Regions from separate parts of the Mus musculus genome. Here region 1 is reported to be linked to region 2. The links are microRNA targets in miRTarBase. Many come from high-throughput screens and were not tested one by one. Region 2 holds a microRNA gene; the other region holds the end of a gene's coding sequence.

Evidence for each region. The annotated mature microRNA mmu-miR-222-3p reads AGCUACAUCUGGCUACUGGGUCU and lies in region 2 at 2,636-2,658, opposite strand. An mRNA with a match to its seed (bases 2 to 7 or 8) in the 3' UTR can be bound and repressed. Matches are read on the target gene's strand: a 7mer-m8 pairs with bases 2 to 8, a 7mer-A1 pairs with bases 2 to 7 and ends in A, and an 8mer does both.
Region 1: the mRNA of Cdkn1b is a reported target of mmu-miR-222-3p. Seed matches in the 3' UTR shown: 8mer at 4,742-4,749, 7mer-A1 at 4,819-4,825 and 7mer-A1 at 4,898-4,904.

Annotation. Positions count from the first base shown.
Region 1 is chr6:134,919,690-134,927,007 of GRCm38, forward strand. Cdkn1b (cyclin-dependent kinase inhibitor 1B) reads left to right here and starts at 712. Exons shown (of 3, transcript NM_009875.4): 1 at 712-1,705; 2 at 2,267-2,394; 3 at 4,554-5,836. The coding sequence starts at 1,231. The coding sequence ends at 2,385.
Region 2 is chrX:19,144,266-19,151,583 of GRCm38, forward strand. It overlaps Mir222 (microRNA 222), which reads right to left and starts at 2,706; the gene lies at 2,628-2,706. It overlaps Mir221 (microRNA 221), which reads right to left and starts at 2,123; the gene lies at 2,029-2,123.

The DNA.
Region 1 (7,318 bases), not on the chromosome of region 2:
GATCCTACGGTGGAAGCGCTTGGATTCAGAAACACCCTGATAAGAGCGGTCAGTCCTGGCTTCTTTTTGAAACCACCTCCTGGCCTGTCCTACATAGCAGAGACTTCTGGGGTCAGGCTAAGCGGCCGATTCCGCACCCCAGCTAAGGCACCCTGCCGGGTGGGGGTGGGTGGGCTGCCCCAGGCCCTGAGCCAAGGTTTCCTGAATCTCTCGCATACCCTCCTCCATTCCCACCTCGGCGAATGCAGGTGGGCTGAACTAGCCACCGAAGCTCCTAATAAGCCGCCAGCGACCTAGGAGCCCACTGGTCCAGGCCCTAGGTTTCGCGGGCAAAGACCTGGAGGTCGCAGTCGGGAGCGGTGACGCGCCTGCCAGCGCAGCTCTGCAGCGCCGGGACCTAGATCCCCGGGTCCCTGCCTGGCCGCCGCGCTGGCCCCTCCCCAGCTCTCCGGCCGTTTGGCTAGTTTGTTTGTCTTATTTTTAATTTCTCCGGGGCCAGCCAGAGCAGGTTTGTTGGCAGTCGTACACCTCCGAGTAGTCACGCGACCAGCCAATGTCCTGGCGGCGCTACGGGGAGGCGGCGCGCTCGGGAGCGCGGAGAGGCGGCGGCGCCGCGCCCGGGGCCACCTTAAGAGCGCGCTCGCCAGCCTGGGCGGAGCGGCTCCCGGCGCCGAGACCAATGGAGCTCCTCCTCTGTTTAAATAGACTTGCAGTGTCAATCATCTTCTTCTTCGTCAGCCTCCCTTCCACCGCCATATTGGGCAACTAAAAAAGGAGGGGGGCTCGTGCTTTTGGGGTGTTTTCCCCCCTCATCCCTTGTCCCGACTCACTCGCGGCTCCGAGACTCGCGCGGCGGCAAGGTTTGGAGAGGGGCTGCGTTCGCGGGACACACGGGCTCGCCCCAGCCTACGCTCCGACTGTTTGCCACCTCCTCCTGCCTCCTCCCCTCCCTTCCCCGCCCTCCAGTACACTTGATCACTGAAGCCTCGAGCTGCGCGGCGGCTGGGGTGTCCCTGCGCCTCTCTTCCCCAGACCTGCGCGCTACTGCGGCTCGGGCGGTCGCTCGCCTGGCTCTGCTCCATTTGACTGTCTGTGTGCAGTCGCAGAACTTCGAAGAGGGTTTTGCGCTCCATCCGTGGCGTTTCGCTTTTGTTCGGTTTTGTTGTTTATTTCATTTTTTTTTTTCCGGAGAGAGGCGAGGCGGTGGTCCACACCCGCCCGAGGAGGAAGATGTCAAACGTGAGAGTGTCTAACGGGAGCCCGAGCCTGGAGCGGATGGACGCCAGACAAGCGGAGCACCCCAAGCCTTCCGCCTGCAGAAATCTCTTCGGCCCGGTCAATCATGAAGAACTAACCCGGGACTTGGAGAAGCACTGCCGGGATATGGAAGAAGCGAGTCAGCGCAAGTGGAATTTCGACTTTCAGAATCATAAGCCCCTGGAGGGCAGATACGAGTGGCAGGAGGTGGAGAGGGGCAGCTTGCCCGAGTTCTACTACAGGCCCCCGCGCCCCCCCAAGAGCGCCTGCAAGGTGCTGGCGCAGGAGAGCCAGGATGTCAGCGGGAGCCGCCAGGCGGTGCCTTTAATTGGGTCTCAGGCAAACTCTGAGGACCGGCATTTGGTGGACCAAATGCCTGACTCGTCAGACAATCCGGCTGGGTTAGCGGAGCAGTGTCCAGGGATGAGGAAGCGACCTGCTGCAGAAGGTAGTGACTCTTTGGAAAACTTAAAATGTCTGTCTGTCTGTCTGTCTCCGTAAGCGCCCCTTTACTAGACCCTGTTCACTTGCTTTCTCCAGCGTGTTCTGCTTTAGCTCTGGGAAATCGAACTTGTTTGAAGCTTAGGTTTGACATACCCCCTATCCGACTGCTTGCCCTGTTTATGATTTTGAAGTCAGAAGCCGGAGATAGTAAGATGTGATAACTTCCGTAGCCGAACGCATCACAGTTCCTCCCCTCTAGCCAGCTGTAGATACGTGACAAAAGTTCGGATGTTTACCAACTGCCTCCTCCTTGGCTGGGGTGGGGGGGTGGGGGTGGGGATGGGGGTGGGGAAGAGACGTGGGGTGTAGAATACTCCTTGTGTTAGTGGGAACAACCTTATTTTGTGTCCTTAGATGCTACCGGGGATGACGGGTCCAGGGGTCGTGGGTGGAGGTAGTGAGTGGGTTGTTCATCCCTTGGGCCTACTTCTGTCAGCCATTGTTGTCGATAATAAAGATGGTTTGTGTGTGTTCTCTTAAAAATTTCCCCTTGCCCCCCTCTTAGATTCTTCTTCGCAAAACAAAAGGGCCAACAGAACAGAAGAAAATGTTTCAGACGGTTCCCCGAACGCTGGCACTGTGGAGCAGACGCCCAAGAAGCCCGGCCTTCGACGCCAGACGTAAACAGCTCCGGTGGGTTAATGAGGAAGAACACAAAACTGACACCCCATCTGGGCTGCGCTCCCCGGGGGGCCTGCAGACCCCAGGACTGCTGGCAGATTAGTTGCCTGCCAGGAGGAATTACTTTCCTTGATCAAAAAAATTAACACTGGGGAAGGCTGGAATCACTTGAGGGGACTATAATGCAGTATTTGCACCCCAAGATATTTACCTTAAAGTGGAATCAGAATGAGGTTCCCAAGCAAGAACTTGCCACCAAGGCCCCAAAGGATAGGGACGGTCGTATCCTTATGAATCCCACTAAAACTTAGGCTGGGAATGACAGTTTTCCTTTCCAGTCTCAGTTCATGAGAACCCATTTCCCAGAGGTTCGTTTTGAGCCAATAGCCTATTTTGAACCATTTGAACTGTAGAAAAATGGCAAATATATACTTACATGTATGTTCTTAAGAGAAAAACTAGGTACCCATAGTGCACGTTTGATTAGGAGTGTGAATAGAGCTGCCGTGGCTCGAGTTCTTTTTATCTTTTGCTTTTGTTTTGGTTTTTGGTTTTTTGAGATAGGGTTTCTCTGTGTAACAAACAGCTCGGGCTATTCTGGGAATTGCTCTGTAGACCACGCTGGCTTCGAACTCACAGAGATCTGTATTGTCTCTGCCTCCTGAGTGCTGAGATTAGAGGTTGTGTGCCATCACCTCTGGGTACTTTTTTATTTTTTTTTAAAGTTGTGCCTTGTATGCTGGTAAATTTTGGAGAGAAAGGAACTTCATACTTAAAAAAAAAATTAGACTGGAAAGTTCAGAAGTACTAATGCTCCCACAGAATTGATTTTAACCCTGAGGTTACAAAGCAGAAGTTAAATGAACAGCTAGAGGAAGCAGCCTTCCCACACGTCAGCACCGTATGCTAATTTGCTGGAACAGGACGGTTTGGATGTTTATAGGGGAAATGGATAGTAGATGTTAGGACCAACTGAGAAGGTCCAACACAAGTGTGGATTTTTCCATGTGTCAAAAATCTCATCACCCCACTTGCCTAATTAGAGTAACCCAGCCCCTAAATTTACATAGATTGACTATTCATATGCTCTAACTACTTATAATAGTTTATAAGCTCCTTATGAAGAAAACCAGCATTCTCTATTTCTAAAGCCCACTTATAACCCAGCATACAAATAGATCTTAACAGTTTATTATTAACTTTTCAGGTCCTCATTTATTGAAATTTAAAAATAAATGAAGGAATATAGAGATGGCACAGGGTTCCAGCTTGTTGTGTTTATAAATCATAAAGTCATGATATACCTTCTACAGACATAGCATTTTTTCAGAGATGGAAAATGGCCATTAGAGTCACTTTCCATATTATACCCTCTATAAAGTTGTCGAATTGGATGGGAGTTCTTTCTAACTAGCCATCACACCTGTAGCTTTAGTTGCTTTGTGTGGCTTCTGGCCTAGCTTTTCAGATGAGCCGCCTGGATTTTTACCTGGCCTGTTCTGATAAAGAGGCATTTATTAGCCAAGCAACCATAAGACTCTAGTCAAAAGCACTCGTGCAGATATGCTGCATATGAGTAAGAAATTGCAATTTTGTAAACATTCCTCGACTTGGTGGGGAGGAATAATTTTATAATTGCATTTCCAGGTATTTTTCAAGATTACGAAAATATGCTACTCTGATGTGTTATGGTTCCTGAATTTCTTTTCTTTCTCACCCTCTTTGACCCAGATTTTATAGAGCGAGTTTCTCAACCTCTGCACAGTTGACATTTTGAGCCAAATTATTCTTTGTTGTGGTAGGCAGTCCTGTGCATTTTAGAATGTTTGGCATTATCTCTGGCCTCCCCCACAAGATGCCAGTAGCAATCTTCTTCCCGAAGCTGTGACAATCAGAAATGTCTCTTAGACATTTCCAAATGTCCCCTGGGGCATGGGAGGGTTTCACAAAATTGCCCACTTGTTAAGGACCCTGACTCTAATACCACACAAAACAGAACAAAAATCCAGCAAAGATAGGATCGGAGATACCTGTAGTCTTCAGACCTTTAGTGCCTGTATTTATCCATCATTACTGAAGTATTTGTTAACTAAGCTAGCAACAAAATAATTTCTGTACTTTGGCAATGTTACTCTAGTGTCTTCTCCCTAATTCTTTTGTTTCTTTTGCAGAATTAAGAATATTTCCTTGTTTATTAGATACATCACTGCTTTATGAAGCAAGGAAGATATACATGAAAAAATTTAAATACATATCGCTGACTCCATTGAATGGACATCCTGTATAAGCACTGAGAAAGCAAAAACAATAACACTAAAATTTTAGGCACTCTTAAACCATCTGCCTCTAAAAGCATTGGATGTAGCATTGCGCAATTAGGTTGTTCCTTATTTGCTTTGTTGTACTACCTGTGTATATAGTTTTTATCTTTTACTCTGTAGCACATAAACGTTAGGGATGGGAGGGCAGGGTGGGGCTGAGGAGTCAGCATGGGGGTGAAGAACTTGCTTCAATTTGTAGCAAGGAGAAAAATATTTGACTTGCATAAAGAGAAGCAACCTGGGTGGGGGTGGGGGGGGGAAGGGTTTGAATTCCTTTCTTTAAAGATGTAGTGTCCCTTTCGGTAAGAATGGATCCTTTATTTTTAAAATAATCAAAATTTGAATAATTGCTACACATGGTTGCTATTTATTTCTACATGAAGCTTATTCTCACTTGGAGGTTCTGAAGATTCTGTTATAGAGCAAGAAATGGCTTAATTTTTTTTTTTAATTGGAATTTACCAGTTTATTGTTTAGCAGTAATTACCCCAGGTAACACTGGGCAAAAATCTGGGGTGCATAATAGGGAATTCTGAATTCTTAGATTTGATTATCCCAGATCATTTTTGCTAAGAAAAATTCTTATTTCTTTTTTTCACAGTGAACATAATCCTAAATCCTTGGATATTTTTAGAAGTCTGTAACTTTACACAAATAATGAAATAATTTTTAATTCAAAGTTTCTCACCCTACTTGTTAATTTGCCCCCAAGGAAAGTTGTTTTTTTTTTTTTTTTTTTTTTTAAGGAAAAAAGGACACTTGTAGAGTAAGTGAAATGGATACTACATCTTTAAACAGCGTTTCTTCATTGCCTGTGTATGAGAAAAACTTGGAAGTGTGCCTGTGTATATAACTCTGTAAAGACACTGAAAATTATACTAACTTATTTATGTTAAAAAGAGATTTTTTTTTAATCTAGACAATATACAAGCCAAAGTGGCATGTTTTGTGCATTTGTAAATGCTGTATTGGATAGACTAGCCCCCCCCCCGCCTTTGTTAAATAGTATGGCTGTGCTTAAAAGGTTGCATACTGAGCCAAGTATAATTTTTGTAATGTGTGAAAAAGATGCCAATTATTGTTACACATCAAGCAATCAATAAAGAAAACTTCCGTAGTTATTTATTGAGTGCAACTGTCCTGTGCTTTACTGAGCCTGAGCTAGTCAGCCTGGCATGCCCCAGATACAATGGGAAGGCAAACATCTACATTTAGGCCTACATTTCAGTCAGATGATTTGGGGGTGGGGGGGTGATGGGGGTGATGGGGGTGGGGTGGGGGGTGTGGGTATTCTTAGTGGCCATTTTCATCTTAGTCCTATATGGGTAGACAAGGCTTAACTGGAAAGAGGAAAAGCCACATTTTCATGTAAGACTGTCAGCAGCCCCCATTTAGTTAAAATATTTATGTTTTCTAGGATATGAGTGTGTGAGAACCAAAGGGGGGGGCTTACATAAGTGTAGTCTGATCACACATCTGCAGTACTGAAAATGAAAGTGATGGAACGACTTTTCTAGATTTTCTATTTACACTTTTGAAGTGGCAATGAAAATCAATGTCCTTACTTCCACCATACCAGCCCTGTCCACAGTAGCCCAACACACAAATCCTTAAGAACCAAGTTTTTTCCATACTCGTAGGTTAAATGAAATTGGTCATACATAAATTCTTCAAATTTTGAATATTTATATTATAGTTAAATTCATCCGAAAAATAAGTTAAAATACTAAAACAGAGTCTTGTGTCTTCATATCTGTTCAGCAGAGATGCATAATTTTTTTTTTTTTTTACTTAAAAAAATACAGAAACGGAGCATTTTTAAAGCCAGGTTGATCAGAAATAATTCTCTAAATAACACTCTTATTTTTAAAATGTGGTTAAGGTAGAAAGTAAATTATAAGAAATTTTTATGGGTAAATTGTGAAAAATCCAAATTTGGGTTTAAATTATTCATTGAAATACTACCATTTATATCACCATACCCAAAGGGGATTATAAACAAGGTAGTTCTAGCATTTTTTACTAGGGTTTTTATTTGTTCTTTTGTTTTCTTTCTTTTTTTAAAATAAAGCAAAAGTTGGTTTTTCTTCCTGTGCGGGATGGGAAAATGGATCTTTTGGTCGCTGGGCCAAGTCCTTCAAGTAGGTATTATTTTAATTAAAGACTAAAGGTGTTTTTGTGGTTCTGTTTAAAACATAATATAAAGGGCGGCTTGCAGGAGGACCAAGAGTCAGAAAGTCAATCCAAGTTGGGAAAACACCTCTGTTACTGCACAAACCTCATTTTCCTTTCATAGCTTTTTTTTTTTTAATACGAATTTTGAGAGATTGCATTTTAGGAATGGTGGACCGGGAAGAGGTGGATGCTCTCTGCGCCAGGCACGTCCACAGGAACGCATCCCCCCCGCCCAAGTCACTGTGCCCTCCATCCTCCGAACGCCTGTGTCAAGCCTCCACATACAATCTGGTGGTTCAAATGGTCCTTTTCCCGGAACCTGGACTCCTGCGCCCGCCGCGAACGTCCCTTTGCGGGTTTGCGGCCGCCGGCGTCAGCTACCCGCTACCCCACTACCCTGGTCACGGCCCGGTAGTCTCCCCAACTGTCCCGCAGCCCCG
Region 2 (7,318 bases):
AAGTTTATTTCACAAGTAAAAAGAACATGAATGGGTTATGGGGACAGAAGAGTAAATATGCACCCTTTAAATATTGATGTTGAAACTGCATGGGAAATACTTATGTAAGGTAGAAGGTAGACTGTTGTAAGCACTCCACCCTTATAGACTAGATGTGATTATGGTTTGGTGAATAGGATTCTTTGATAAGTGTTCAACTCACTTTTCCCTTTTACCACATGAGTAAACATCAAGAAACTACTTATCAGACAATATATATCAATGTCTTAAACTTGGACTTATCCTCCAGAGTTTTTAGAAAATAATTTTTGTTCAATAACAGTCAAGTCTCAGAAATTTTGTTACAGTTGTACAAAAATGGACTAAAAATGATTACTGAGCTGGGGGTTGTAATAATTGCTCAATGTACTTTGGAAACATGTCTAGGTTACATACCCAATACTACAAATATGGAAAATATTGTCACCTACTTAGTCTGAAGAACAGAAGGCACAAGGGTCTAACCCACTAACCATATCTTGGTGGTTTTGGCATCTAGCCAACTTCTGGAAGTTAACTACACCACCACCAGTACCACCACTCCTTTATTAGCATATGAAATGATTGAATCAGTATTCTAGACTCTAGTGTTCTAGGATGTTCTTGTATAAGGACTAAATCAAATGCAACAAAAGATCCTCTTACATCCTTGTCACTCAGTAAAGTATGAGGGCTTTGGGGACTGTACATGAAGTCTCAATATGTATTTCTTGTCATATCACTATATTTGGCCATGCTTTGGGAATCCATCAAGTACTTCTATGTCACTTCAGAGAAGGAATGAAACCTTGGGTCTCTCTTTATATCTGGCTGTACACTCAACACTTGTTTAGTGACAGACAAAGGAATTCAAAGAGCTTCATGAGTGTAGAGATGAAATAAAGCACTGTCCACTTGTTAACTATGAGTTTAATTCAATAGACCCATGATGTGTAGAGCTATCTACCACACTTCAAAAGTTGTCAAATACATGAACTATAAGGTCCTTTTTATAAGGCCATTGGCTTGGGCAGGGGATGGAATGAACTGGTAGAAAACTAAAACTCATACAGAACAGACAGTACAATCTGCTTTATTTTCATTAGATTCAGCACTAGGTGACAAAAACTCATTACATTATGACAATTGACTATTAAACAATTAATTATACACAGGCATTGATTTTTGCTTCACTTGTATTCCTTTTCTATTAATGTAAACTACTTAATTTCTTAATGAAAGTCTCTAGTATATATAACATAACAATAAATTCCCCCTTGAAACCTCCACTCATCCACTGAAAATTTTATCCTGAATTGCTACTGTCTAAAATTATTTCTAAGTTTCCATTTATTTACCAAAAGAATAGAAAACCCACATTGTAAAACTTGTGTTTCTTAGAAGCAATTTCCATTCCCTTCTTCTCATCATGGAAAACCATTCTTGAGTTCTTTATAAGCTTGTCATTCCATCACACAGCTGCTGCTCTGTTTTCCTAAGTGATGGTCATCAGTAGTGGACAGTCAAATTCTAGGGTATGCTTTCAGCGAACAAATGGTGTAGTGAGATGTTGCAACATAATAAAATGTTCAGAGACTATGCAGACTGGAAAGTTCTTCATATAAGTTTTGGGACAATGACAGAGGAGGGACAGAAACAGACCAGGCTCCTGCAGGTGGAAGAGAAGCCAAAGTGAGGACAAATGCTGAGGTCGGAAGCAGTATGCTAAGATGATTTACTTCCTGTCAGCAATAACAAATAGCAAACCCAAACATTTTATAATAATATGACCTGTCTTCTCTTCTGTTTCTTCAGTTGACAAGTCTGGCATGTGAGACTGTTTTGGATGAAATCACAGTGAGACCATTATTTGCTATGATGCTCAGCTTCATAGAGGTCCTTCTTTTGTTCTTTTCAATGAGATAAGTCATACTCATTTATGGCTCCTAGAAAAGTTGACTCAGAAATGTTAGAGATAAAACAATGATAAGTAGGCCAATGAAGAAATGATTCCAGGTAGCCTGAAACCCAGCAGACAATGTAGCTGTTGCCTAACAAACACAGAAATCTACATTGTATGCCAGGTTCATGCCCCAGACCTGGATGTTCAGCCTGCAAATTATCCATACAGATTAACATGTCAAAGTTGGTATGTGTCTTATTTACCATAAGAAAAGAAAATGGAAGTCACAATTCCTGTGACTTACCAATAGGTGAAATTTCCTCAAATAATTCGATTGGTGGTCATTCATCATGCTATTTTTAAAATGACTATTAAAGGACAAGAGATGTATGGAAGTACAGATAGGGACATGATAGATATCATTTAGGAAGATGATACATAGACAGCTGGATAGAAAATGATATCTTCATGGGGGAAAGAGGAAGACAAGAAGTAAAACCAATCAATGGCTCAAATATTCTCTGTAATGTTAATTGACTTCATCCTTCATCAAACTCTGGATGACTTCCAAAACTGAATGAATGAATAATGGAAAATTAGATGATCTGAAAACTGTGTGTGCCTATGTGTGCATGTGTGTGTTGCTCTACAGAAAGCTATCGTTTCAATAACCTTGTTATGGGTACCATAACTGAAGCTAGATGATGCCACCAGAGACCCAGTAGCCAGATGTAGCTGCTGATTACCAAAGACAGGATCTACACTGGCTACTGAGCCACTGAGGGCACCCTAATCCTTCTGAGAGTTAGACAATTTGTAGCCTTCTGAAGAGAGATTCTGGAAGGGAAAAAAAAAGATGTCAATTACAGAAATTAATGAAACAATACAAGAGTTTTCAATTGCATATTTTTCTTGTGCTCTGAATATATATAAACCTTAACTACCTTTAGATTCACTTCCTAAATTTCTAAAACACAGACAATTATTTATTAGGTATTTTCTTCATTTACATTTCAAATGCTATCCCCAAAGCCCCCTATACCCTCTCCCCGCCCTGCTCCCCAACCCACCCACTCCCACTTCCTGGCCCTGGCATTCCCCTGTACTGGGGCATATGATCTTTGCTATACCAAGGGCCTCTCCTCCCATTGATGGCCAAGTAGGCCATCCTGTGCTACATATGCAACTAGAGACACAGCTCTTGGGGGTGGGGGGTACTGGTTAGTTCATATCATTGTTCCTCCTATAGAGTTGCTGACCCCTTTAGATCCTTGGGTATTTTCTCTAGCTCCTTCATTAGGGGCCCTGTGTTCCATCCAATAGATGACAACACAAACAATTATTAAAAGGTAGCATTTATGGAACTATTCTAAGTAGTACTTCATTAGTTTGTCTGTTCTAAGCTGTCCCTCTACAAAACAATACAGGTCTAAGTCACTAGCTAGGTAAGCTCCTTGTTGATCAAGTCATTAATTTTTCCTAGAAATACTTAAAAATACTCACTGAGACACTTTTCTGAATCTTTTCCCAGGCCCCTGACATTTGGGACTGAGAATCAGATTACAAAAAGGGTAGAGAAAAATAAGAAATTAATCCAGCAGAAACGAGTCATTCCATAACATAATAAATAGTTGAGAGTAATTGTACTGTTTTGAAGGTAGTTGAGAAATGTGTGTCTGAAGGCTTGATATTCATGCAGTGTGCAAGAAGCATGCATACACATATCTGGGGGAGAGAAAGGACCCTAGGGGGTTGAACGAGGCAACTGTCCAAAACCAAAGCAGGAAAATGTCTGATTTGAAATAAGCGACTTGATCTCAACATTTCACTTCCATGGGCAATGGCTGCCCACCCCCTATATTTAGGATCATTTTCTAATATAAATAACCATATGACTTTGCTCTAAGCATATACACCTTAGAGTTCTGTATTCTTGTGGTTGAAAATTCTGCAACATCCACTTAGAAAAATTTAAGAGGCTTATTATCAGAAAGAAAGTTCAGAAAGGCTCCCAACTTTCAAATAGAACAAGTTCAATAGACTTGCAGCTGGAGCATACAGTGATAATCAAACATACGCATACTACAAAGAAAAGTGGCTCAGAACAAAATTGTTAGCAGTAAAGAAACACAAGCAATTTTGTGGGAGTCACCGTGTGCTCTGCTCTTTGAGGGAGGACAGAGTGGGACTGACAAAGGAAGTAGACTTTTGTTTGATTGCTCCCCCTCTTTAGCAGTTATAAACTAATCTTATCTATATTTTACAAAAGAGCATGCATAATGAGATGGAGAGGGGGGGGAGAACATTTGTTCAGTTTTGGCAAGCTCTTACCCTTACTATAAAATAAAGCATTTGTAGAGCACACAAATGCATATCTCACAACACTATACAACTATGCCTAAATCATCTTTTATACATAAAGCTAACCGAGTGAGACATGGGTTTAGTTTGGTTACTTCTAATGCCACAGTTAAACAGATGATCATTTATAAATCTTAGTCCATTTTAGCTACAGCCTGTAGACTCACAGAAGAGCCTAGCAGGGGCATGTGGATTTCCCTAGGAGCAGGAATTAGAATAGACTCAATGGATGTTCTGGAGGTGGGGGTAGGGCAGGAACAGGAGGATTGGGTGGGGAAGGAAAGGGTATGCATGGTTGAGGGACAAAATATGGAGAGAGAAACAGCTTGAATTGAGGAACATTTGAGGGGCAGTGTTGCAATCCAAATGCAGTTTCCAAATAATGGGGGCAGATGCAGTGCCAAGTGGTCATCTCTTGTTATCAAACAAAGCTTTCAGTACTGGAACCAGGTTACATCCAATTGAGTTGTTGGCCGAAGGGGAAAATACAATCCTCATACAAAACAATCCAGGCTTTTGCCAAGAATATAGGAACAACAATATGAACTAACCAGTACCTCACCCCCCGAGCGCGTGTCTCTAGCTGCATATGTATCAGAAGATGGCCTAGTCGGCCATCAGTGGAAAGAGTGGCCCATTGGTTGTGCAAACTTTATATGCCTCAGTACAGGGGAACGCCAGGGCCAAGAACTGGGAGTGGGTGGGTGGGTGAATGGGTGTGGGGGACTTTTGGGATAGCATTGGAAATGTAAATGAAATAAATACCTAATAAAAAATTTAAAAAAAAAACAGATGACAAGGCCCCATTGCTGAAGACAGTACCTACACAACTCATTGAGTATGGAGAGGTAAAGCTAGTACCTACATAGAACCATCACCCCATATTCTAGTGTCTATAACACATTATTCTGAAGGCTACCAAAAAGAAACATAGACATCAACCCAGCCACAAACCTTTGATCTGCAATCTGTTCTGCCTGCAAAATATGCTAGGGCAGTGGTGGCACATACCTTGTGGGAGTAACCAACTAATGTTTGATTTAAGGCCTATTCCATAAAATGGGACCCAAATCCCATACTACTTGAGTGACCAGAACCAGAGACTTAGCCCAGAAACCTAGGGTAAAACCAAATACCCCTGGTCTAAAATAATGAAAAAACACTGTGACAAAATGAATCCTGATGACATTCTGCTATACTCATAGATCAGTGCCTTTTTTATTAAGCTTTTACCAGAGATGCTGCTTCCTGCAGTAGACAGAAACAAATCCAAAGATCCACAGCCAGACATTAAACATGGAGAGAGACCTTGAAACACAGTTGTAAATGGAATGTCCCTACCAAATTTCTCCCCTCAGAGCTCAGAGAAGCTTGCAGAAGAGGAGGCAGAAAAATATGTAAGAGAGAGACGAGATGGAGGATACCAGCAGAACAAGGCCCTCTAGATCAACTAATCAAGGCTCATATGAGCTTACAGAGATTGAAGTAGCAAGCATAGGGCCTACACAGGTGTGCCCCAGGTTCTCTGCATACATATTATAGCTTTCAGTTTAGTATTTTAAGGGACTCCCAAGTGTGTGTGCGTGTGTGAATGAGTCTTTGATTCATGTGCTAGCAGCCTTCCATTAACTAAAGAATGCCATCAACTTCTGTCACAAACACATATATGGATCTGGAAGAGCATAAGACAGTTCATAAATTTAACAAAGTCGGCATTAATTTAAATAAAATATCTCCCACTAGGAGGACTTCATGTTAAATATTCTTTTAAAATGTAAACATATGCATGGAGAGGGGAAGGGAGGGGGCAGAGTGAGGACAAAAACAAACGTTGGGAAGCACTAAGCTAGTGATTACCTTGATCATGGGTGATTGGAATTATGATATCAGCACAGATGTTATATATTTCTAAACTCATCAAACTGTCCACCTGAAGTATGTACTGTTTTTGCTTATCATACTTCAATAAAGCTGTTCAAACACACACACACACACATACACACACACACACACACACACACACACACGACTCTCAAATGGTGAAGAATAAAAAATCTAATTAACAGTAAGTATAGACTAGGGAAGCAATTCATTCATATACACACAGTATGCCCAGAGTTAAATTATGCTGGAGCATAAACCAACCTTTTAAATACAGGTGTCTAATTAAAGTACATTCCTGTGAACTTGGATTCCTTCTGCATTACGTTAGAGCACTTGAATCAGGCGATCGCCATAACCAGACAAGTGGTGGCAGCCTGTCTAACTTTTGCATACCTGAGGTCCTGTGACTATATTGACCAAAAACATTTATACCAGCTGATGGTCACTTGATCCTCACATCTCTCTATTTAGTAAATTGCTCTACAAGTCAGCTTGAAGTTTGAGGTGAACATTTTCTGGGACATTCCTGTTCAACACACTTTAAAAAAGACATTTTCTGCCAAATTAGTCTAGCCTGAACAGGTCTGGGAAGGAATCAGGTTGGCACAAGATCCTACAACAGGCTTCTGAAGGTGAAACCTCTTCCAATTAATAAAGACAGACTCAGACTAGTTTTGGAGAATAATATTTAGCAATTAGATACATGCCTTTAATCCTTCTGAATGAAAAAAAAATCATTTCTAAAATAATTACTGGATGAGAGCATAAGTCATTTTTGCTTACTAAATACACTGAAAGAGAAAAAAACAAAAAGATAGTTTTAACCTGAGTTATACACAGTCTTTTGTGGAAAAATTCTAGAAATCAACTGCCTCAAATCCATTTTTTCCACTTTCTCCCTCCTCCCTCCTCTCTGGAAGAAATATGTAAGGCAGTTTCTAGATATAATATCAGCAGTGTTCAAGGCAGTGAAGAACCCCTGTCCTTAAAAGGGGGAAATAAAATTATTTGCATCCCATTAATGATAAGAAAATAAGGATATCAAATAATTGTTTTCTGAACCTGTAAATAATAGAAAAAACTAAAATCAGTTCCTCCAAAAACTGCTAGCTTGGACTTTGTTCAATCACAACTTATTGCTGGCCTTTACAA